6 linked regions of the Rattus norvegicus genome follow. The protein of the gene in region 5 purifies or fractionates together with the protein of the main gene of each other region. This does not show direct contact. Links are inferred from orthologs where the notes say so. Each region holds a gene or a part of one and is shown on either strand. Other genes may lie near its edges.

What was found.
Region 1: the proteins of Cttnbp2nl (region 5) and Ppp2r1a purify together in Homo sapiens (affinity purification with mass spectrometry; 6 studies listed by BioGRID and IntAct, with this or other methods). This does not show direct contact. The link is inferred for Rattus norvegicus from reciprocal best matches to the Homo sapiens genes CTTNBP2NL and PPP2R1A.
Region 2: the proteins of Cttnbp2nl (region 5) and Strn purify together in Homo sapiens (affinity purification with mass spectrometry; 5 studies listed by BioGRID and IntAct, with this or other methods). This does not show direct contact. The link is inferred for Rattus norvegicus from reciprocal best matches to the Homo sapiens genes CTTNBP2NL and STRN.
Region 3: the proteins of Cttnbp2nl (region 5) and Stk24 purify together in Homo sapiens (affinity purification with mass spectrometry; 3 studies listed by BioGRID and IntAct, with this or other methods). This does not show direct contact. The link is inferred for Rattus norvegicus from reciprocal best matches to the Homo sapiens genes CTTNBP2NL and STK24.
Region 4: the proteins of Cttnbp2nl (region 5) and Stk26 purify together in Homo sapiens (affinity purification with mass spectrometry; 4 studies listed by BioGRID and IntAct, with this or other methods). This does not show direct contact. The link is inferred for Rattus norvegicus from reciprocal best matches to the Homo sapiens genes CTTNBP2NL and STK26.
Region 6: the proteins of Cttnbp2nl (region 5) and Strn3 purify together in Homo sapiens (affinity purification with mass spectrometry; 4 studies listed by BioGRID and IntAct, with this or other methods). This does not show direct contact. The link is inferred for Rattus norvegicus from reciprocal best matches to the Homo sapiens genes CTTNBP2NL and STRN3.

The regions. Positions count from the first base shown.
Region 1 is NC_086019.1:69,212,004-69,215,997, reverse strand, and holds the start of Ppp2r1a (serine/threonine-protein phosphatase 2A 65 kDa regulatory subunit A alpha isoform), read right to left. Parts: upstream 2,801-3,994; 5' UTR 2,800-2,800; coding exon 2,722-2,799; intron 1-2,721. UniProt on the Homo sapiens protein: The PR65 subunit of protein phosphatase 2A serves as a scaffolding molecule to coordinate the assembly of the catalytic subunit and a variable regulatory B subunit.
Region 2 is NC_086024.1:22,157,009-22,160,508, forward strand, and holds part of Strn (striatin), read left to right. Parts: intron 1-613; coding exon 614-750; intron 751-3,030; coding exon 3,031-3,206; intron 3,207-3,500. UniProt on the Homo sapiens protein: Calmodulin-binding scaffolding protein which is the center of the striatin-interacting phosphatase and kinase (STRIPAK) complexes.
Region 3 is NC_086033.1:104,862,977-104,867,088, reverse strand, and holds the start of Stk24 (serine/threonine-protein kinase 24), read left to right. Parts: upstream 1-1,312; coding exon 1,313-1,354; intron 1,355-4,112. UniProt on the Homo sapiens protein: Serine/threonine-protein kinase that acts on both serine and threonine residues and promotes apoptosis in response to stress stimuli and caspase activation.
Region 4 is NC_086039.1:135,254,386-135,257,439, forward strand, and holds part of Stk26 (serine/threonine-protein kinase 26), read left to right. Parts: intron 1-64; coding exon 65-213; intron 214-1,206; coding exon 1,207-1,300; intron 1,301-1,908; coding exon 1,909-1,971; intron 1,972-2,052; coding exon 2,053-2,189; intron 2,190-3,054. UniProt on the Homo sapiens protein: Serine/threonine-protein kinase that acts as a mediator of cell growth. Modulates apoptosis. In association with STK24 negatively regulates Golgi reorientation in polarized cell migration upon RHO activation.
Region 5 is NC_086020.1:195,197,904-195,201,403, forward strand, and holds part of Cttnbp2nl (CTTNBP2 N-terminal-like protein), read right to left. Parts: intron 2,626-3,500; coding exon 1,147-2,625; 3' UTR 1-1,146. UniProt on the Homo sapiens protein: Regulates lamellipodial actin dynamics in a CTTN-dependent manner. Associates with core striatin-interacting phosphatase and kinase (STRIPAK) complex to form CTTNBP2NL-STRIPAK complexes.
Region 6 is NC_086024.1:74,827,974-74,831,473, forward strand, and holds part of Strn3 (striatin-3), read right to left. Parts: intron 2,457-3,500; coding exon 2,378-2,456; intron 758-2,377; coding exon 584-757; intron 1-583. UniProt on the Homo sapiens protein: Calmodulin-binding scaffolding protein which is the center of the striatin-interacting phosphatase and kinase (STRIPAK) complexes.

The sequences.
Region 1 (3,994 bases), on a different chromosome or scaffold from region 5:
AGATGGATATGGTACTACGGCTATATTTTGATGACTTGTAAACTAGTTTTTCAACATCCTTGCCTCAATTTTTTTTTTTTTTAACATGCTTGTGCTCCTCTCCTAGCTGCACTGTGGGAAATAATGGGCCAGGGTGACAACTGGTGAGTAGTAAGCAGCAGCCCTAAGGACAGTAGATGGTATCAGGGAGAAACTACCATCCCATTCATAATCTTCATGCCAGTCATAGTAGCATGTATCATCTACAGATTGTTCCCCGTATGCTCGGGTTGGTTATTCCCACAAGGCTCTGAGGTCTTCTAGAAAAACAATATTAACAGGTGAGGATGCTGCTGGAAAACTGTCCATTTGTGGACAGTTCTCTCACTCTAGTTTTGATTTTGTTCACAACGTGCATTGTTTTCTTCAGGAAGATGGCACTCTGAATGTTTGAGTAAAGTGGCAGAAAGCTGCGTAGCCCTATTGCCTATTTCAAGGCTATGCTGTCATGAGGTCACCTTCACCCAGCAAGATCTCTGACAGACTTCTGATCTCTGGAAACACATAATAAAACTTTATGTTGTTTTATATTTACTTTATAGTGACTTGTTACAGAATTCTGACAAAACTGGCCAGCTGACCTAGCTAAACAAGTTCCTTATTGTCTCTGGGTGAACATTTCATCCAACAGCTTCCTTCAACCTTAGCACTAAAAAAAATTTTTTTTTTTAAAAGAGGGACTTTTTTTGTTTCCTATGAAGGATGTCTTATATACTGCAATCATGTTTAACAGCATTCATGACTTCAACCTACTAAAAGCAGTAACAATCTCCAGCTGTGACAACCAAACCATCCCCTAGACATTACTAAACATCCTTGGAGGCAAAAAACTATAACTATAGCCATTGCATACATTCACACACACACACACACACACACACACACACACACACACACACAGAGAGAGAGAGAGACATACCCTCCTTCTGGAATTATCTTCTCCAAATTTTTAAACTTTCCATCCTGAAAGGAGCTTCCCTTGACTGGCTTAATTCCTTACTCATCTGTCTAGTATACACACTCTACCCAGAACCTAATGGCTCCTTCCAAAAGCAGGTACTATTTCAAATTTCTACAAGACTTTCCCATGCTTACTTTAATATTGTACCCTATATTTCTTATTTTCTTCTTAATATTTTCCATAGTCAACATAATACCTATTTATCTGTCACTACTCACTAAAATCCCTTAAGGCAAGTTTTGTCCTTTTGCTCCCAGCTGTCAACATCTAGAGACACTCTGATGTCCAACAAACATTTGCTGATTCACTATTTCAACATTGACAGATCTGGTTTCTTACATGTGGTAATATGCAGATTTAGTTCTGTTTGCCTGTTTCACACCTAGCCTTTGTATAGCAACCAGCCTTTTTCTTTGTTGATACAGTGTCACTATGTAGACTAGGCTAGCCTTGACACTGCTTTTGCCTCCAGAGTGCTGTGATTGCTAGCATGCACCACTATACCAGGTTCTGGTCTCCTTTATGACCCCAACAACATCCCTCATCCTTTGCATGTGTTTACAGAGCACACACACATAAATTCATACAGTATGCTCAAAACCAGATTATTCTCACTTAATAGAAGAGAAATACAGACTGCCTGAATCAATTAGCAAAAAGTGCAAGACCCAGGAGTACAAATCCAGCCTGGCTGATAATGGAACCAGAGTCAGACATAAATACATAAAACTTAGATAGGCCAGGCTCAGGAAATTGACCAAGTGCAGCATGAACAATTCTATATAAAAGGAAAAGTAGAAGGCCGTAGTGCCACAATAGCCACACCCCCAAAATAATAGCTAACATTTATAGAGCCTTTACAAACAGCCAGTTTTATTTTACTACTTTTCCTCAGCCACCCAGGGAAGCCAGGGCTATTATTAGCTGGTATTTGTAGAAAACAGAAGCCAGGGGGGATGAAATAATGTGCACACAAGGTCATCCTCAGGTGAAAGGATGCGGCCTTGAGGTCTGACCTCTTTTTCAAAACCAAAGCAAACTCAGGGGTCCTGGCTCATTTTTTTCCCGTGAACCAGAACTATCAACTCGCTTGGCAGACAGGCCTGGGACAAAGTTGGAGAACAGGTGGGTGTGTACACGTGACCTATCCCAGATAAGGCTAGGTTAAATCTCTGGAGAGCATACTTTCACAGTCTCCTTCCTCCTTCAGGAGAGATACCACAAAATGCAAGGCGGAGGTCCGTGAAGAACGGATAGAAGTCCCAGTTATCAATCCCCACTCGTTCCAGTTAAAATAAACAAAAACACTAAAAGCGATGGTAACTCCACCCAGGTCGCCAGGACCCCTGAGGGCTTCCCCTACTCAGCAGGTCACGCGCCCCCGCCGATTCCCTACAGAGAGCCATTCTGTGTCGGCCGCCAATCACCGACTGGAAGGCGGCAGCAAGACCGCCACCCAATCTCGGGCCGCCCAGGCCCAGATCCGGGGCTGCCGCGCGCACTCAGGTGGGACCCTCGAGGCTTGCCCTCCGCTTGGCTGGGCACCCAATGAAGGCTGCCATCTCATCGAACCTTGCCATCAAGAAAGATGAGACCTGAATTCTGATTGGCCGCCGCTGCTTTCCGCCACTCCCGGAGAACCCTGAGCCATCGCTCCCACATTCCGCGAAGATCCCCGTCCCCGATCTCCCCCACACACTCTAACGGAAGGATCCCCGCACCTGAACGTCCTCATTGCGCAGTTCATCTATGAGCACCGCAATGGGGTAGAGCGAATCGTCGCCGTCGGCAGCTGCCATCTTGACTCCCTGGCGTTTCTATCAGGCAGCAGCGAGCTCCGGGCGGAATCCGGGCTCGGGAGGGGCGGTGCGGGGAAAGGACGCAAAGCGGACGTGGGGGCGCCCGAGCCGCGCTACAGGGGCTGTCCCGCCGCCATTGCCGCACAAGCTCGCGTCTGTTTGGTCTGAACCAACCAAGTCCCGCCTACTTCTCATTCACCATTGGCCGGATGAATCAGATGTTTTTCCGAAGGACGAGCGGAAGCGGAAGTTAAGTATCTTAGTGACCAGAATTGTGCCCGCCTGCGTCGCTGCTGGCAACCACGGGAACAAGCAGGTCTAGCTGCCAATGAGAGTCGAGAATGGGAGGTGGCGATGATGATCTCTTGGGGAGACTCGAAGACTCAAACCCGAGCCTTGGGAACTGTGCGTGACGTAATGAAGAACAGGCTGGTCTGGTTGTGCTTCTGCGGCTGTTATATCGGTCTCTAAAGAAGGAACTCCTAAGTAGGGAGATTTGCCTTGCTCAGTTTCTAGAACGCGGCCCTGGGGCTGGTGGCGTTCAAGGGCTGGTGGTGTTAAAGGCTTTGTTAAAGTCCCCTCTTACCCTGAAGAAATAGAGCAGCCAAGGCGACCTCTTACTTTATCCTGCTGGGGAGTTTCTAGGTAGCTAGTAAGAAATGAGCCAGGTCGAAAGTATTTGAGGATGGACCCCTGCCGCATAATGAGCTTGGACGCCAAACCTCTTATATGGCTAATATAAAAGTATCACAATCCTTTTTCCTTAAGAATGAAAATACGAAAACGTAGCAGGGTTGTTAAAGCGTGACTGCTTTTATTCTTGATTTTTGTTTTCTTCTTTTTCGATCTCCCTTCATCTTCCTCCTTCCCCTTACCTGCATTCCTCCCTTACTTCCTCTTCCTCTCCAATCAGAGAGAAAATTAAGAAGGAAACACCCTCACAGAGAGTGGAAACAAAGAAAAAAACACCCACTGTCACAGAGAGTGGGCATTCGTAATCAGTGATACATATTTGAGTATCATGTATCCCTGGCCCTGAATGGCAAACACATGGTCTTGTGATAAAGAACAAAAGGCTTAACCATGTGTGAAAGTGCACATGCTTTCAATTCTGAAACTCAGGAAGCAAAAACTTGTTCTACATAGTTATACCCAGGCCAGTCAGAGCTATATGGTGTAACCCTCAGAAGAGAGC
Region 2 (3,500 bases), on a different chromosome or scaffold from region 5:
ATATCAAATAGAAAGAAAACTTACTTTAAAAAAATATTTATTTATTTATGACTATAGTGTAGCTGTCTTCAGACGCACCACAAGAGGACATCGGATCCCATTACAGATGATTGTGAGCCACCATGTGGTTGCTGGGAATTGAACTCAGGACCTCTGGAAGAGCAGTTAGTGCTCTTAACCACTCAGCCATCTCTCCATCCTCAAGAGAAAACTTACTTTTAGACTTACTATTTTCTGTATAATGATTAAGGAAAGGACAGTAGATTACTAAATCAGTATCTCTTTTACTTTTCTAGTTAGATGATGCTGTTGACAGGATGATATATGAAAAGGTAGTCTAAGATTTTTTTTTTTGCTCATGGAATTTCACTGTTTACAAAATTTCTTAACAGTAATATAAGAGAGATATAATCTCTGAAGCCTATAATTCCAGCACTTAGGAGGCCAGGGCAAGAGGATTGCCCTTGTTCTGGACCAGCCTAGGCTCAACAAACAAACAAACCCCAAGTAGACCAAGTTGACATGCACACGTTCACTCCGCAGAAGTGTAATGCAGGCAGCGAGACTAGCTCTGAACTGTTTAGCTGTGTAACTTGGACTTTGTCTCCTTCAGTGGAAGCATTGACGTTCCCGCCTTCTTCAGGGAAGTCATTTATCATGGGAGCAGATGAAGCCCTTGAAAGCGAGCTGGGGCTTGGAGAATTAGCAGGCCTTACAGTGGCCAATGAAGCAGACTCATTAGCTTATGATGTAAGTAGCAATTTTGTTTTTACACCATTTAATTTGTTTGAAAATTTAATAGTTGAGTTTATAGAAGAAGATGGCAGAGGTAAAATTTTCACAAGTATGAATCTTTGAATCTCAAACTTTGCAAAGATGGGTATAAAAATAAGCTAACATTTTCTAAATAACCTGGCGATTAAAGTTAGAGACTGCCTTCATCTGCAGTCACTCTAAAATGTGCATTGTTTGAGGCAGGCACCTGTGATGAGCCAATGTCTTTCTTCCTCATGGCCCCTGTCCTGCCCCTTGAGTACCCTGTCTAGTGTGCGCTCCCTGCACTGCCCGTTCACTGCTGCATGCTCACTTCTTGTCTCCTTACCCTCACACAGCCGTCCTCCAGATGACCTAGGCCATAATGGCTACAGGCAGATTTCCCACTGCCTACCTCTGTCTTCCCACCAAACCATGAAGACTTTACCCAGTGGCTAATGGAACTGGACTCCTAATGCAAGCTCACTTTTTTCCTTCTCAGGAAAAATTGATATTGTATCTTTACCCTATTTCCAAAGGTAGTTCTTTGTTTTATTAAATATGCCAGTAATCTGTTGCTAATCTAATCATTTTTAAAAATACAAAATGAACTCTGGCATTTTTGGAGGTTCTTTGTCTCATATATCTTTGTCAGATTTTTTTTTTTTTTGACCTCGTAGGTTCTTTGACTATATATTATGGTTTCCAGCTTTGTGGTATTTCTGTGTGTGATCATGTATGTCTCTTGTGTCCATACATGTTTCTTGTAATTTTTCTTTGGTTCTTTTTCCCTTTTTGTCCCATTTCAGTTGTTTTTGTTCTATGTTGTTATTCTTCAGATGTCTGTTTTCTCATGAGAAACAGAGAGGGAAGGATGGGGATTCAGATAGGAGGGGAAAGTGGGGAGGCCCTGGAAGAAATGGTAAAGGGGAACCGTAGTCAGAATATACTATGAAAAAAATCTCATTAAGAGTTTTAAAAGCATCATCTTCTGATCTCTCTGCACCCAGAGTCTGGGTGTAGACCTGGCTGGGGTCTTATATTGCTTCAGTCAGGATTTTGCCAGTGCCTGGGTTCTCTCTTGAAGACTTGGCTTGGAGAAGACCAGGCTCTGTCCCAGTGTTTGACCACCCTGGCTTCACTTGGCATCTAGTGTCCACACTTGAGTGCGTGTGAAAAGAGGAAATGCAGCAGGTCTGCAGCTCAGTGATGACCCTGGATTCTAAGTCTTCCTCCTCAGCTCTGGGTGCTGGAGTTGCAGGTGTGTGACGCCATTCTCAGCCACTGTTACATTTTCCATGTCCAGTTTATAAATCTTGTTTCCGTCTTGGTGAAGAAAGTATTAAGTCTCAAAAACTGTGACCATCGTTGGATTAACGAGCTGTTTTAGTTTGGGGCTGCATTGCTGAGATGGAATATACAACCTGAAGGGGCTTGGGCGACCTACAGTCGCACATCGCAGCCCATCGTTGGCTGTGGACGAACACTGGCCTGCTCACCTGCTTTCTTTAAGCACACGGCACCACCAGCCTGGAATGGCACTGCCCACAGTGAGCTGGGCTCTCTCACATCAGTCATCGATCAAGAAAATGCCTGACACTTGCCCACAGGCCAGGCTGGTGGGAGCGTTTCTTTACTGAGGTTTCCTCTTCCAAAACGACTCTAGTCATTGACATAGTTGACATAAAACTAGCTAGGACACAGGCATAAAGAGAAAAATCCTACCCCAGTTACTTTCTCTCTTACAGTTTGAATTGAGTTAGTTCTAATTATTCAGTCTCTCGGGCACTGTGACATAATAATTTTCAGTAAGTGCATGTTATTTGAGTCTCAGTCCATGTCTGTTTGGAAGTGTGGTGAGACTGTCAGAAGAAGCTACTTGCTTTATGGTGTTAGGGGAGCAGAGGAGGAGGTGGAGGGTTCTGCTGTCTCCTACTGTCTTGTCTAGGCTCCATCTGCTAAAGCCTCTCCGCTCCAGGAAGGCCACAGGCTGCTGACCAAGCCTTCAGCATCTGGGCGCTGGAGGACGTTCAGGATCCAGGCTAGCAACAGTAGGAACTGTTGGGGATTATTATTTACTGCATTTTAGACTGAATTATGTTAACTGTCTTTGATCGTTTTGTATTTCTCCCATGAAAACTGCTGCCACACGTTGCTAGTTTTGCTAATTGGCTTGGCTGTTTTCTTTAAAAGTATATTTATTATTTTGAGGATTGCACCATGTAGTAGTATAATAGCAAATCAGCGATCTCAGCCTGATCTTTTGTTTCTTAATAGATAGCGAATAACAAAGACGCCTTGAGGAAGACGTGGAACCCTAAGTTTACATTAAGGAGTCACTTTGATGGCATCCGAGCCCTTGCTTTCCACCCCATCGAGCCTGTGTTAATAACCGCGTCAGAGGACCACACGCTGAAAATGTGGAATCTGCAGAAAACAGCCCCAGCTAAAAAGTGAGAACATTCTACCTGCACTTGTTTTTCTAAGATTTTAGTTAAATTGTTTATCAACAGGAAAAGATACATTTTAAAAATAATTGTTACTTTTCCCAAATATAGGTAAATCCCTCAGACAGTCTAATGTTAGGTCTGACATTTAGGAAAGGGGTTGTTTTTACCTGATGTTTCCCAAGGGTTTGGAACTGCTGATTGCAGTCCTTACGCATAAGTGCTTCTCGTGGCTGTCTTATTGGTGCGGCCTCTTGTCTGTAATGAAGATCACAGTTACATAAAGAGATATAAGTAGGA
Region 3 (4,112 bases), on a different chromosome or scaffold from region 5:
AGGACCTTGAGGGAGCCTGTGTTCTTGGAATACAAGGACACCTCAGAAAATAATCTCTTCCTTATCTTCTATTTCTGAACTCCTGGGGACTCACTTTGTATGCTTAACCTTGCACAGCCGAGGGGCAAAATGGGCATTCAGGAATGAGGTCTCAGGGTCCCTATGGCCCGAGGCAGAGCGATTCTGACTCTTAGACCACTTCCTATTTGTCACTAGTACATACAGTACTTCCTGGAGGCGCATGGATTCACTCCATCGGTCCTTGTTTGCTGCAGAAGAAACAGTTTAGAAGGAGGGCAGAGCTGGTGCCCAGAGTGGGCCCGCGGCCTTAGGAGCAGTAAAGCGAGGGGAGGGCTGGGTAAGAGTCCAGACCGTGGTTTCCTTCCATTGTCTTCTCTTCCTCCGTCACCCCTCCGCACCTCACTTTCCCCTTCTTGTGCGCAGCGCAGAGATGGCGGGGGCCCAGCCCTTCCTCCGTCCAGCTAAGTTTCCACACCCGGCGGCCCAGGCGAGGTTGAGTTCAGTATCCAAGGCACTGCACACAAACTGCCCTCTCTACCCTTGGGGTTTCCTCCTTGATCTGGCTGGAAACTTCGTACGGACAGCGAGGACGCTCCGCCCGAGTCTTTTGGAACAGGCCCCAGGCTAGGCCCCTCTGGGGACACCCCGAGTGCAGACTCTGGCCTCTGGAGGGCCGGGGCGGGTAAGAGGGAAGAGTAGGAGTGGGTGGTGCTCTCCGCTCCCCCGGGCTCAGCTCTGCTCCGCGCGCGAGGCCCACCCCGCGGTTCCGAAGGACCCGGCCACGCAGCACCCGGAGAGCGCCCGCTGAGCCCCGAGGACCCCGCCCGCGCGCCCGCAGGGAGGCCCCACTGCGGCCTAGGGCGCCCGGCGGCTCCTCCCCTCCCCCTCCCCCTCCCGGAAGCGCGGGGCGGGGTCCCCGGCCGGGCCGCGGGGGCGGGCGCGGGGGCCGGGCCGGGGCGGGGCGCGGCGGGTTGTGCGCGCCCACTCGGCTCCAGGCGGCCAGCGCTCGCGGGCCCAGGCCGCCCGGCTCGACCCGAGCACCGCGGCGGCGCAGCGGCGGGAGCCTAGGAGAAACAGCCGCAATCAGGAGACATTCCCGCTGTCCCCGCTGCCCGCCCCAGGCTCGGTGTATGGGGCCGCGGCCCGCCAACCTTCGCTGAGACCGTCCCCGGGGTGCGGTGGCCTCGGGCTCCAGAGCCCGCCCCGCCACCCGAGGGCTGCGCGCGGCCCCGGGCCTGCTCGCCGCGCGACTCCGCGCGTCCCGGGCCAGGAAGTGGCGGCGCCGAGAGCCATGGCCCACTCCCCGGTGCAGTCGGGCCTGCCGGGCATGCAGGTAGGCTGGGGCGTCCGGGTCGGGCTGCGGGCCGTGGCGGAAGCGGGCAACTTGGCGGTGTCAACACGCCCCCCCTCCCCCCAACGGCCGGGCCCGTTTCTCCGGGATCTTCGCCGACCGGAGCAGCCGGGATCTCGGGTGTGTGCACGTGGAGGGGCCGTGGGGTCTGCGGCCTCGGGTCGAGGTGGGGTGCAGGAGCTTTGTGCTCCCCAACTCGGACGCTCAGGCCAAGCGCTCATTCGGGGCAGGAGTCTGAACTAGTGTCCTTGGAGGCCCCGTTTGGGTGCCTGGGCCCTGTTTGGGCCTGGCACAGGGACAGCGGGATTCCAGGGTCTTCAGTCCCCAAGAGTCCCTCCCCAGAACCCCCAGACGGGAGACGGGAGCGCGGGACGGGGAGCGCGCCCCGGCTGGTCCCAGCCGGGCGGGCCGCAGGGCGGGGTGCAGGAAGGTGTAACCTCGCGTCCAAGCCTGTAGTTCTGGTGTGGAAAGTGCGAGGTTGCAAACCCGGGAGGCGGAACCCACACCTCTGCGAGTGCCCTGGCGTGCAGAGCCCAGGTTCACCCCTCGGATGCCAGGTCTCCGCTGCTAGACTTTCACTTTGAGACACGATGGCATCCAAAGCAGCTGTGTGCTAGCTTGCTTCTCCCTGCACTCTTTGTATCTTCTTAGTTCGCCAGTGACTTTTTCTTTGGAGGGGAAGGGGGCGGTGAGGGGAGGGAGTTGAATTTCAAGTTTACATGGATGCACGAACATTTTTTTTTTTTTTTTTTTTTTTTTGCTTTTGAGGATGTTTTTCTGTACTTTGAAAAACAATCACTGGTCTGTTCTTGTAAAGTTTGTGAGCGTATAATGCAGACAAAATGATTGCGATTAACACCGCAAGACCAGTCAAAGTTTTGTTTTCCCAAGTGAGTGAACGGAAGAGTTTTGCTTTAAAAAAGCAAAAAAAACAAAAAACAAAAAACAATAAAACCTCAGAATATCCGAGATGATCAGTCTACAGACGCAGCAGGCGCTTTCTCTCGGGCTCCTGGGTTGAGCGGCACGGGCCTTGCCTCTTACTGCTTCTGCTTCTTCTGAAACTATTTTCCATCCCTGTTTTCTTTCTTTCTTTTTTAATTCATACCTCGGGAAGGAAAATGGATTTCTTTGTCCAGGTTTGAACTCTGGAAGAATAGGAATTCAAAGTTACCACTTTAGTGGCCATTAGAGCTTGAGCCCTTTTTATTTTTGAGGAATAATAAAGTTGGAATTGAGTGTCACTGGAAAGGTGCTCTCAAAGTATTCTTGAAGTCTCACCTTGCGAGCCCGGTGTAAAACCTGATGCTGCTGGCCACAAGTTGAAAGTCAGCCGCGGCCTCCTACAACTCTTGCCTTGGTTCGACTTTAGAGACAAAACACCTGGGTCAACCGGGCGACAGTTTCTTACCTGTACAGCAAAAAGGACCTCTTGGCACATTAAAAGCACGTTTTTCCACGTTTTCTTCATTCATGTGTGGGAGGTCAGTACCAGGTGGTTCCTAGCTGGGGGCTGCTCTCTCATTTTGTTTGTTTGTTTTAAAGAATGGGCCAAAATTCTTCACTTTGGGAAAAGAAAAATTCAATAACTTTACCTAAAAAGTGTATTTCCTGTGTGTTCTTGAGAGGAAGCCTTTTTAATTTTGTTTTTCGGTATGGAGATGATAGCCTTTTCTCAGTATTAATTTTTTTTTTTTTTGTCTGTTCTGGTTCTGCCAAGGAGGAATACTGGCTTTTCACAGCCCAACCTGCCCCTCTCTATGTCTTCAAACCACATGATAACATTTTTAGTGCATTACTGGAGACTGTTCCTATCCTTCCCTTCCCTCCAGAAAAGAAAAACCAGTACATTTATTTTCAACTTGGAGTCAGGAGCTGCAGCCTGCCTCCCTAGGAGCTGTTTTGAGGATCACATGAGAGGCTTGCCTGGCCTTGACTCTTGTCTAGGATAAAGCTGGAGAGGAAGAGGTCTTCCCTGTTGCCCCACAAACTCCCTGCAGACTCCTGGCTAGGGTTTAGGAGGAACTGGGTTAAGTGTTTTGGCAAGTGGGGTGTGGTAGGGTCGAGGCAGGAGGATTTCTGTCAGTTCAAGGCCAGCCTGGGTTACCTTAGGGAGTTCTAGGCTAGCCAAGGTTAATCCTGTGACCCAGTCTCAGAAGAACTGGACAAAGTTCGGCAAGGCAGCAGACTCAGACAGCCCGAGGGAAATAAGTCGAATTCAGGAACTCTTTTGTATAAGGACTTTATGGCCTGCTAATCACTTTATATCTGTTGTTGATTGCTGGTCTGATGGAGGAAGAGGTTACTTATACCGTCTTGTAACTTTGTGAATGAGGAAGGGTTTGAATGGACCAAGGTAAAGTAGTGTGTAGAAAGGCATACAGTGATTAAACCCAGGTCTTCACTCTGCCTTTGCCAGTGTTAAACACCATTTTGTTTTAGGTTGTATTTGCTGAAGAAAGAAAGATAAGATGAATGTGTGTGTGTGTGTGTGTGTGTGTGTGTGTGTGTGTGTGTGTGTTTTCCCCCTCACTCAGTAGCTGTGATTGATGGGCAACTCTAGTGATCTTTGGTGAGGAGTTTCGGGCTGTACACCTGACTGTTTTGATGAGATTCGCTGGGGATTTTCTTTTCCTCTTTGGGTTTTGTAGTCTGTTGAGAGAATTAGAAAGTAAGACCTGGCCAGGTGCCTTTAGTCCCAGGAGACAGGGACAGGCAGATCTCAGAATTCGAGGGCCAG
Region 4 (3,054 bases), on a different chromosome or scaffold from region 5:
CTTAATCCCGAAGTTCCTTAACATAGTCATATGTCCTTCATTTTTTTCTGTGTTTGCGCCTTAGCGTCCTACGGCTAAAGAACTTTTGAAGCATAAGTTCATCGTAAAAAATTCAAAGAAGACTTCTTATCTGACTGAGTTGATTGATCGATTTAAGAGATGGAAGGCAGAAGGCCACAGTGATGAGGAATCCGATTCTGAGGGCTCTGACTCGTATGTATAAATTACCACAGGTTTTTTCTTAAAGGCAGGTCCGTCTGCATACTCTTTGCCTTTTCACAGTGACCTGGGATGCTTACTTTAGACTAAGTGATTACTCATATTTCAAGCAGTCACTTTGGCCAATGGGAAGTTCTTTACAGTCTGTGGACTACAATGAATTTGGAAACATGCTTTAAAGGGGAAAGCTCTGCTTTTAAATGGTCTTGGTCTAACCCCTAGTGGATACTTGAGTATATTACAAAATTTTGGAATATGATTTGACTGTAGGAGTTCTAGTTCACAAGAAGCAATAAGGAACTATGTTTTCTCATATTGTGATGACAACCTGTGCGACCCTTTCGAGAACTGATCTAATGGCCTCTCCTACTTTCTGGCCATGGACCAAACTGTGATCAGCCTGAACTGTGAACTGCTACACCTATTTGCTTATGTATGGTTTTTACCCCATGGAAAAGTTTTTATGTTAATAGTTCTGCTTCTGTGCGTTTATCTTAATTTGAGTAGGAGAGTGCAAGGGCTGCACCAGGATTTCAGGAGTTCCACAAGGCAGCACTCCAGTTCTCCACACAGTGTTCTCAGGCACCTGCATCTATGAGAAACTGCCTAATATTTGAAATGAATAAAACATCTTGATAGTTTGTGCCCAATCTAAGGCTTGTTAACCATAACTTCTCGGTGAAACTTTAAAAACACAAAGCATGCCACTAGAGATCGTGGTTCAGGCATGGGGAAATGGCAGTATGGACACAGATGGCTCTCCACAGAGGGTTTGGGTGAACATGAAGAGCTGAGAAAATACTGCTGTTGTTGCGTGAAATAGTGGAACCACCCGAAACTGAGGTGACATGTTCTGTTAGAGAGCTCTTCCGAGTCTTCTTTCACTGATTCGGTGGTTTGGTTTTGGGTTTTGGGGTTTTTTTCTTAGTTTTTGTTCTTTTGTTTTTCCTGTGCTGAATCACTTATGCATCCTTGGCATTTCTTTAGGGAATCCAGCAGCAGGGAAAGTAATACCCACCCTGAATGGAGTTTCACCACTGTGCGTAAGAAGCCTGATCCAAAGAAACTGCAGAATGGGGAAGTATGTGTATGGAGCTAATCTATCTATCTATCTATCTATCTATCTATCTATCTATCTATCTATCTATCTATCTATCTACTCACTCACTTATCTATCTATTCATTTATTCACTTATTTATTTAGTGTGCAAAGTAATAATCTTCATCATATAATCTTCATAAACAGGTCATTATATTATGTTCTCATCTGATCATGACCTCCTGATAGACTTTTAAAAATAGTGTTATGGTATAGTAACGTGCAAAACTGCTACAATTTCATTCCCCTGCATACCTGTCTTCCTCGCTATATATAATCAGTTTTATTTATTATTAATTGTGACCTAATTAAGTCACAGAAGTCATCGAAATGGCCACTGTTACTTAAAATTCATTCCATGTAGAGATATGTGAACCCACGGAATCAGTTATCTGTTGCAATCCTAGACGTTTGGGGACTTACCCTGATGGATGACAGTTTGTGACAGAAAGAAAACATAGGGACCGGCTTTATCTTCTGTCTTTTGAAGGAGGAATTCAAATTGATTCACATTTGTTATCACGTAACTCAGGGAAGCCATGAAGGATTATTTTAATTTCGTATGTATAATCTGTATTCTTTCTTCAAAGGAGCAAGATCTTGTGCAAACCCTGAGCTGTTTGTCTATGATAATCACACCTGCATTTGCTGAAGTAAGTGTGGGTTATTTAGTATCCACTATCTCTCTCAGGTGGCAGGGTATTTTCAATGTTAGAGCCATCACTCTCTTTCAGCTTAAACAGCAGGATGAGAACAATGCAAGCCGAAACCAGGCAATTGAAGAACTTGAGAAAAGTATTGCTGTGGCCGAAGCTGCCTGTCCTGGCATCACAGATAAAATGGTGAAGAAACTAATCGAAAAATTTCAAAAGTAAGTTTGAAGGGTCATTTTCAAACTTCTGTTGGCATTTTAGATGTGAGTTTCTGATGTAATAAAGTCACTTTTATGTAGCCATTTCCTACGTTTTTCCTGCAAGATCATGTTTTAATAGTTGTATGCTTGAAAACAGAATTGTTTCTTGCCAAACGTAAACATCTGCTTTGAGGGGGGCGGGACAGAGAGACAGAGAGACACAGACAAAGAGAGAGTTAGTTATTTACATGGGTGAGTTATCTCCCACATGGGCCTGGGTTGAAAGGATGTCAACCTTGGAATTGTTCCTCTACTTCCTCCCACCTTATATTTTGAGGCAAGGCCTCTCATTGAACCTGAAGCCTGCCCTGTTTAATGATTCCGAGAACATTCTTCTCTGCCCTCCAGTGCTGAAGTTCTGTGGACTCAGTCACACCTGACCAGAACACTGGTGCTCGAGATCTGAATTCAGACCCTTGTGCTTGTACTTCAAGGATTTTCCCACTGAGCCATCTGCCCAACCCAGTGTTAGCTTTTGGAATGATTTTATTGAGCTATGGGAAGGTACATTTCTACTGAACCAGACAGCCCAGGTTTTGCCCTATCTTTCCATGTTAGGATGAAAAGACAGAAAATGTCACTGACTACGTTCTTATTCGAGTACATGTAACATTACAGGTTTCCACTCCTTTTTTTTAGATTTATATAAGCTGATTGTTTATTAGTTGTTATATTTCTTCAGGAAGTACCATGCACATCCGAGGAGTGATTATTAAAGAATATGAGACAGTAGGCTTCATTATCTGTAACTTTCTGGATTAATACAGGTCCCTTATTATAGAATAGTACAAACATCTATAATAATAGGTTAAAGGAAATTTGA
Region 5 (3,500 bases):
TTTGGGATTGAAAACTTCCCTGTCTAATGGATTCCTGTTGACTGGCTGGCTCTAACTGCTTTGGTAGGTAATCTTAACATGCAATTCTGATTCTACTTGTACTGCAAACTCCAAAGCTACAATCACACTAACAGTTATGTGCTTAAGTGTGAGAATGGTGAACATGTAAGGGGCATGTATCATACACATACAGGTACACTTCCATTTGGGCAAAAGTTAATTTGGTTCCATAGATAGAAGTGCTGGCAGCATGAGAATAAATGTAACAATTTGGTAAACTCTATAATTCTGACTTACAATATTACAAAGAGTGACTTTTAAGTTATTGCTTTCTGATCACAGAATGAAGAGTTCATCGTGTCACTTCCTAGTCAAGTAAAAGCAACAGAACCAGAAGGTCCCGTGGCGATGCTTGAGGATGGTTTTGAATGGAGATGTGATTTCACTGTTCAAAACCTGATGCAGGAAACTGAGAATGACTTGATTTTTCATGAGAAAATCAGCACCCCAACTGCTAAGTGCTCTGGAGGGTTTCTCAAGGGCTTTACAGAGCTCAGCCTGACGGAGTTCACGCCCTTCAGAAGGATTCCACTGTACTTATGCAAACCTCGTTTCAGAACACAAAGCTGGCATTAAACAGTCAGAGAGGATTAAAAGCAGTGTTGGTTTTTGACATTCATATTCACAGAGGATCTTATTTTCTGCAAGAAATGCTATGTCTTTTGTTTCTGCCGAAGAATCACATTCATGTGGCAGTGGATTTCAGGCACTTTTAAAACATGTTCATCTGGAATAAAAATCTGCACAAACCACTTCTGCATACTTTGAAATGAGTGCTGAGTAGTTCTAGCTCCCAAACTGACAGCAGAGCACAGCCTGCCTCAGTCAGCTTTCCCATCGCAGCATGCTGGTGACTGTTGACTTGAGATGCACGGTGTCTGAGTCCCCCTCTAGCTTAGTACAAAGAGGTGAAACCCAAAGTACTCAGTTTCTACTTAAAAAAGTACAAAAAGTAAATACACTGAATGTACTACACATACGGCCGTAGCTACTATCAAATAAATAACAGATCTGACTCCAGGGCTTCACTCTGCGGCCTTGGACGAGTCTGGTGGAATGTCAAGTGTCGAGACTCACTCCTGGGGACTAGCTGCTGGTGGGCACAAGCATCTCAACATCTTTGCCATTGGCCACCACGGCACTGGGAGAGCAGCTGCTGGCAAGGTCTTCTGTGGTGGTCAAGGAGGATGCCTGGGAATGAGTCTTGGTCCCTGGAGTGGCGACAGACTGTGAAGGAGTGAGGCCAGGTTTTTTGGGTGGGATTGGTGGAGGGTTTCCTCTCTCAGCTCTGGGGATGGTTGGGGACTTGATTCCCGGAGAAAGGGGGCTCAGAGGGCTGGACACCTTCCCTGGAGTAGGTGAATGGCTGGTGTCGCCTCTAGGATTGGCAGTGCTGACCAGATTTCGGTAGTCTGTCCCAAAAGGAGAACTGTTGGGAGAGACTGGCTTAATTGGCCCTTGGTTAGTGAACCTGGAGAGCACCTGAGTGACAGTGTTTCGGGCCAGCTGCTTGGCAGCAGAGTTGTCTAATAGGGTAGGGGACAGGTCCCTGGATGGAGGGCTCTGGAGACCACTGGCTTGCTGATCCTGATCTGCCTGGGACTGAAATCTGTGCCGAGCTGCATGGAAACGCTGGTTGACCCCTACTTGGTAGGAAGACTGGTAGCCTGGGCTGCTGACTGATGACCCCAAGAGACGCTTGGTTAGAACTGGTGAAGAGCAAGGAGATGATGTCAGAGAGGACGAGGCAGTGCTGCTGGGAGACAGTGAGCTGCCACTGGAAGGGAGATGACTGGGCATTGTGACTGGAATCTCAGTTCCTACAGGACACCCACCATTCTCCATCGGTTTCTCCTGGGCCGGTACTGCCGATTTCTCCCGTGGAGGCCCTTGGTTTTCTGTGCTGCTGTCTGAGGTCAGCTCCCTGGTAGTCTGTGTCTCGGGGTCACAGTGGCCATTAGCTTTTGCATATGGGTAAGGAGCACTGCTGGGACCTGGAAGCCCAGTGTCTGTCAGCTTGGTCATGATGCTGCTGTGGCTTCTTTCTGTCTGAATGCTCTCTGTTTGGCAAAACACAGACACTCGCATGGGAGGCTCTGTGGCTGTGCCTCTGGATGTGGTCACTGGCTCCCGGCCCTGCTCACTGCTGTTGCTGTGCTGCTGGGCTGCCTCTAGGTCTTTCACAAGCTTCTTCAAGCTCTCCATCTCTTCCTTCAGGGCTCGGGTCCGGTTCTCCTCTCGGTTCAGTTTGGCTCTCAGCTGCTCCCGTTCGATATCAAACTCAGACAACTGCTTCTCCACCTGGGCCTCTGTCTGCAGGCCCCGCTTCCGCTCGGCTGCCAACTCTTCCTCTAGTTTACTCGCCCGGCTCTTCTCCTTCTCCAGCTTCAGACTCAGCTCTCCAGCCTTCTGCCCCTCCTCGGCTGCCTTGCTGGTGGCCTTCTTGCACTCAAGCACCAGCATGGAAGACAGCTGCTTGTGGCGGGAACGCTCCTCCTCCAGCTGACTAGATAGCTTCTTCTGTTCTTTTTCAAACTTCTTCACTTGGGACTTTTCAAATTCCAACTAGGAAAAAAAAATGCCATCACACATCTTGATTAGAGTAGGAAAACAACAGGATGCACTGAAAATTACGATGGCGCAGAGCGCGCTCACTGGCTGCTCTCCGGTATTAGTTTGTACGCCATGGTGCTTAGGTTAATTAGTATTTTTGAAGTATGAGAACAGCCCACACAGAACCCCCACACACTATGATTTAATCTTTTCTTGATGACTTGGGAGGCATTTGAGTTCCTAACTGCCTCAGGGTGCACAGCGGGAATATGACGCACCGTTGTGTTTTAGGTATGCGGAGAGGCCATAGACTCAGCCAAAACAAATAACAGAATACCATGTAAGCTGGATCTGGGCATGGACGCTGTTGGAAATCAAACTTAAAGTTGCAGCAATCATTTTGTCTGACCTTAAAAAGAAAGTAAGAAATACAGACAGCTGCAATGAAACTGCTGCTTCTGTTGTCTAAGACTCACTTTCAAATTGAAATCCTCCTTCCATCTGGCAGAACCACCATCCTTGGATCTGTTTTACTGTCTAACATTATCATACAGACTCTGGATGAGAGGGAACAGGGTGATCGAACCCTTCTAATCAGGAATTCCCAATTCAAGACATACTCATAGCTGGGGAAACCAGTTCAGTACCATCACCACCACATAGTACAAGAATAAACAAACAGTTGGTTCATGTCCTGTGATCTTTGTGTTGAGGAAATGATTTAATCCCAATCTGGGGTTTCTACCCCACCTTTATCATTCAGTTTCTGGATAAAACACACACACCCTTTGTATTTACGATAAGCCTTAGTCAACACCAGAGCTGGACAGACATCTACCCTCTGTGCTTTTAGAGTCTACTTTCCTATTGGTAACTCCGACTTATTT
Region 6 (3,500 bases), on a different chromosome or scaffold from region 5:
CTGTCTAACTCCCAAACCCAGAAACGTCTTGAAGACTGCTCCCCTGTGGAGACTGTCCCTTACCAAAACTAGCTAATCCTGATTCAGTTGCACAACATGAACCCCTGCTTCCTTGTTCAGTTTTCCATAACACACACACTAAGCCTCCTGGGTGCTGCCCTTCTCCATCAGAGAGTCCAGGAAGCCATCCCAGTTTCCCTGTGTGTATGTGTCCAATGTCTGTCATTTCTTCATTCCCTTCCCACATCTAGTTAGGATTCTGGGACCCAAGAGGTACCAATCCATTTTATAAATTTTTTATGTAGCAAAAAAAAAAAAAAAAATGTCTTTAATCTGTTAAAATGTTTTCAAGTATTTCAAAACTACTCAGGTAACAGGTAATAACCATAATCTATTTTCCTAAACCTAATAATTTAAGTTTCTCTAATAAACAAAGTGGCTTCCATAGATTCATTTAATATCTAACAATAAATACAACTATAGAAAAGCTAGCAAAAGTGAGACTCTATGAAAAGTCTCTGTTGTACCACTGATTTTGATGTCCATAAGTTAAACGATGTTAATCAACAAATACAAATCATACCTTTTGATTTCTTGTCCTTTTTGTTTAGGAGATTCACCACCATTCAGGATCTGTTCTAAATTCTTTGCTTCTATGGATCCATTTGGCTCTGAATTAGACAGTCCAAGTAATGACCTTACCCGCTGAGATCGTACATCTAATATTGTATCTGTATATCCTACTTCCTGAAGATACCTATCAAGATAAAATTAAACACTAAAACTCAACAGACTGTCAACATCTGCCACCTTCAAATCATATTAAAGTTCACAATCACACAAATTATTCTTCGTCTCAATAACTTCATTATAGCCTAATTCCAGCTAATGATGTCAACTTTTAAGTCAAAATTGAAATATGGGTGCTAGGGATATTATTCACATGGTTTACAGCCATCCATAACTCACATTCCAGGATAGCTTATACCCTCCTCTGACTTATGTGGACACCCAGCATGCATACATCCAGACAAAATTCATGTACATAAAACAATCTTTTTGAAAAATGGATTAAGGCAGGTGTGGTGGCACACACCTCTGATCCCAGTACTCAGGATATGGAGGCCAGCCTAATCTACAGGTGTTCCAGGATAACCAGGGCTACACAGAGGATCCCTATCTTGAAAAAGCAGAAAGAAAGAAAGAAAGAAAGAAAGAAAGAAAGAAAGAAAGAAAGAGAGAGAGAGAGAGAGAGAGAGAGAGAGAGAGAGAGAGAAAGGGGAGGGGAGGAGAGGGGGGAGCATATAGTATGACTAACTGACATTGATTGAACCAATTATCTCAATACCTAAAAGAGCCTCAGTGTTGAAAAGCTTTTGAGATACATACACATGTGACATGCCTCTATACAGACATACATAAATATCTTTTAAAGAGTAGATATATAAATTTATACACACACACACACACACACACACACACACACACACACGGAGAAATGAAAAGATACTCATATGCAGAATAAAATAATTTCAACTAAAAGGATTTGGCAAGCCATCTTTAAAGAGTTTCAAATATCAATACTTCTCTATACCTCTCATACAAACACATGTGTGTAAACTTCGTAGTGAGAGTGTATGTACTACATGAATGACTATTTTTATGTTGCAGGTACTTTCCCTACATTTATGAAAGTATACAGGGCACACAGTACCTAGATTAAGATGACCAATAGAGGTCAGATAAGGGCACCGAATCCCCTGGAACTGGAGTTACAGATGTCTGTGAGCCACAATGTAGATGCTAAGAATCAAAACTGGAATGTCTGCAAGAGCAGCCAATGCTTTTAAATGCAGCCCAACTCCATATAAGCCATACTACTTCAGTTGAAGTCGTCATCCAGTTTTTGGTTTTTTTTGTTTTTTTTTTTTTCAGTTTTTCTACCACATAAGAAATAGGAGAGGAGAGGAGAGGAGAGGAGAGGAGAGGAGAGGAGAGGAGAGGAGAGGAGAGGAGAGGAGAGCGGGGCAAGGCAAGGACAAGAGAAGAGAAGGAGAGGAGAGGAGGCAAGAAAATAGTAGAAAGAAGTCAATGTCATCCTTCAGTAACAGCTGAGTGTATAAAGTGACCTATAGCCAAGCCTGATGACCGGGATCTAATCCCTGTGTCCCAAAGGTGAAAAGAGAGTCAATGCTGAAAGCTGCCCTCTCATCTCCACAAGCAGCTGTGGCTCATGCCTGTGCCCATGCCCACATAGATACAAATGTATTTTTAAAAGCAGCACTATGAAGTCATACAGTAAAATAATGTTTCTACGTATAAGTCGATTCAATGTAAGCACTTTCATAACTCCTTCTTAGCTGAAATCATTACTCACTGTCTTAACAGCTGTCTGCCTTGCTTCCACGTCAGCTGGCTGTTTTGGGCTGGAGGAGCCTCCGCATCTTTGGTTTCCTCTGCAAGTTAAAGAGGGCAAGTTTTGCACACGTTATTTCAACTTCTTATTAGAGTTCAGGGATTTTTTCAAAAATAAATTCACACATGAAAATATTTTATGTAAGACAGGAAAAAAGTTAAAGATTTACTATAGATCATTTCTTCTTTAATGTTTGGGCCATAACTTGGGTACTCTACCTGCTTTAAAATCAAAAGACCTCAGATGTGTTTTAGCAAGATCAAAAAACTGAAAGTCTGGATTTGAAAATAGAATTCTGCTGTGTCAAATACCTTTAAGATTAAAAAAAAAAAAATATCATCACTTATGCTATTTCAAATAACCAGAAACTGAGGATGGACAGACAGATAGACAGACACACGAGAGAGTGAGAGAGAGTGAGAGAGAGAGAGAGAGAGAGAGAGAGAGAGAGAGAGAGAGAGAGACTGACTGAGACTTCATTTTGAGAAAAATTTTTTTTCTTTTTATTTTCTTTTTTTCGGAGCTGGGGACCGAATCCAGGGCCTTGCGCTTACTAGGCAAGCGCTCTACCACTGAGCTAAATCCCCAACCCCTCATTTTGAAAATTTTATCAGTGATATTAAAGCCTCTATCATACTTTATTTTTTAGAACAAAAGATTCAGCTAGGAAACCAGGCTGCTGAATAGTGTCTAACTCCGATCACTGTGGTGGGCACACAGCTGGTGGAAAGAGCCTTTTCTTAGGTCCTAGTGCAGTTAATTTGCAGCCAGCCAAGCAGCCACTCATTCTTGGGACATTCAGACATCAGTCTGCAGATCTGTTGGGCCTCAGTTTTCCGTAAACCCAGTATGTTGTCAACATCTCCAAACGGAGTCCTAATCAAGTCCGTAAGTGTAAAGTAAGTAGCTCATTCTACTTAGCTGCAGTCAAAGGTTATCTGTTTAAAGAGCCTAGAGGAGACACTTAGAACCCGAGTCAGAGACAGACTTTTGGAAGACATCCGAAAGTGAATAGTTGCCTCCTCACTCCACTGATCCTTTATAGTTTATAGCTTAGAAATAAATACCTTTTATACACACAAAA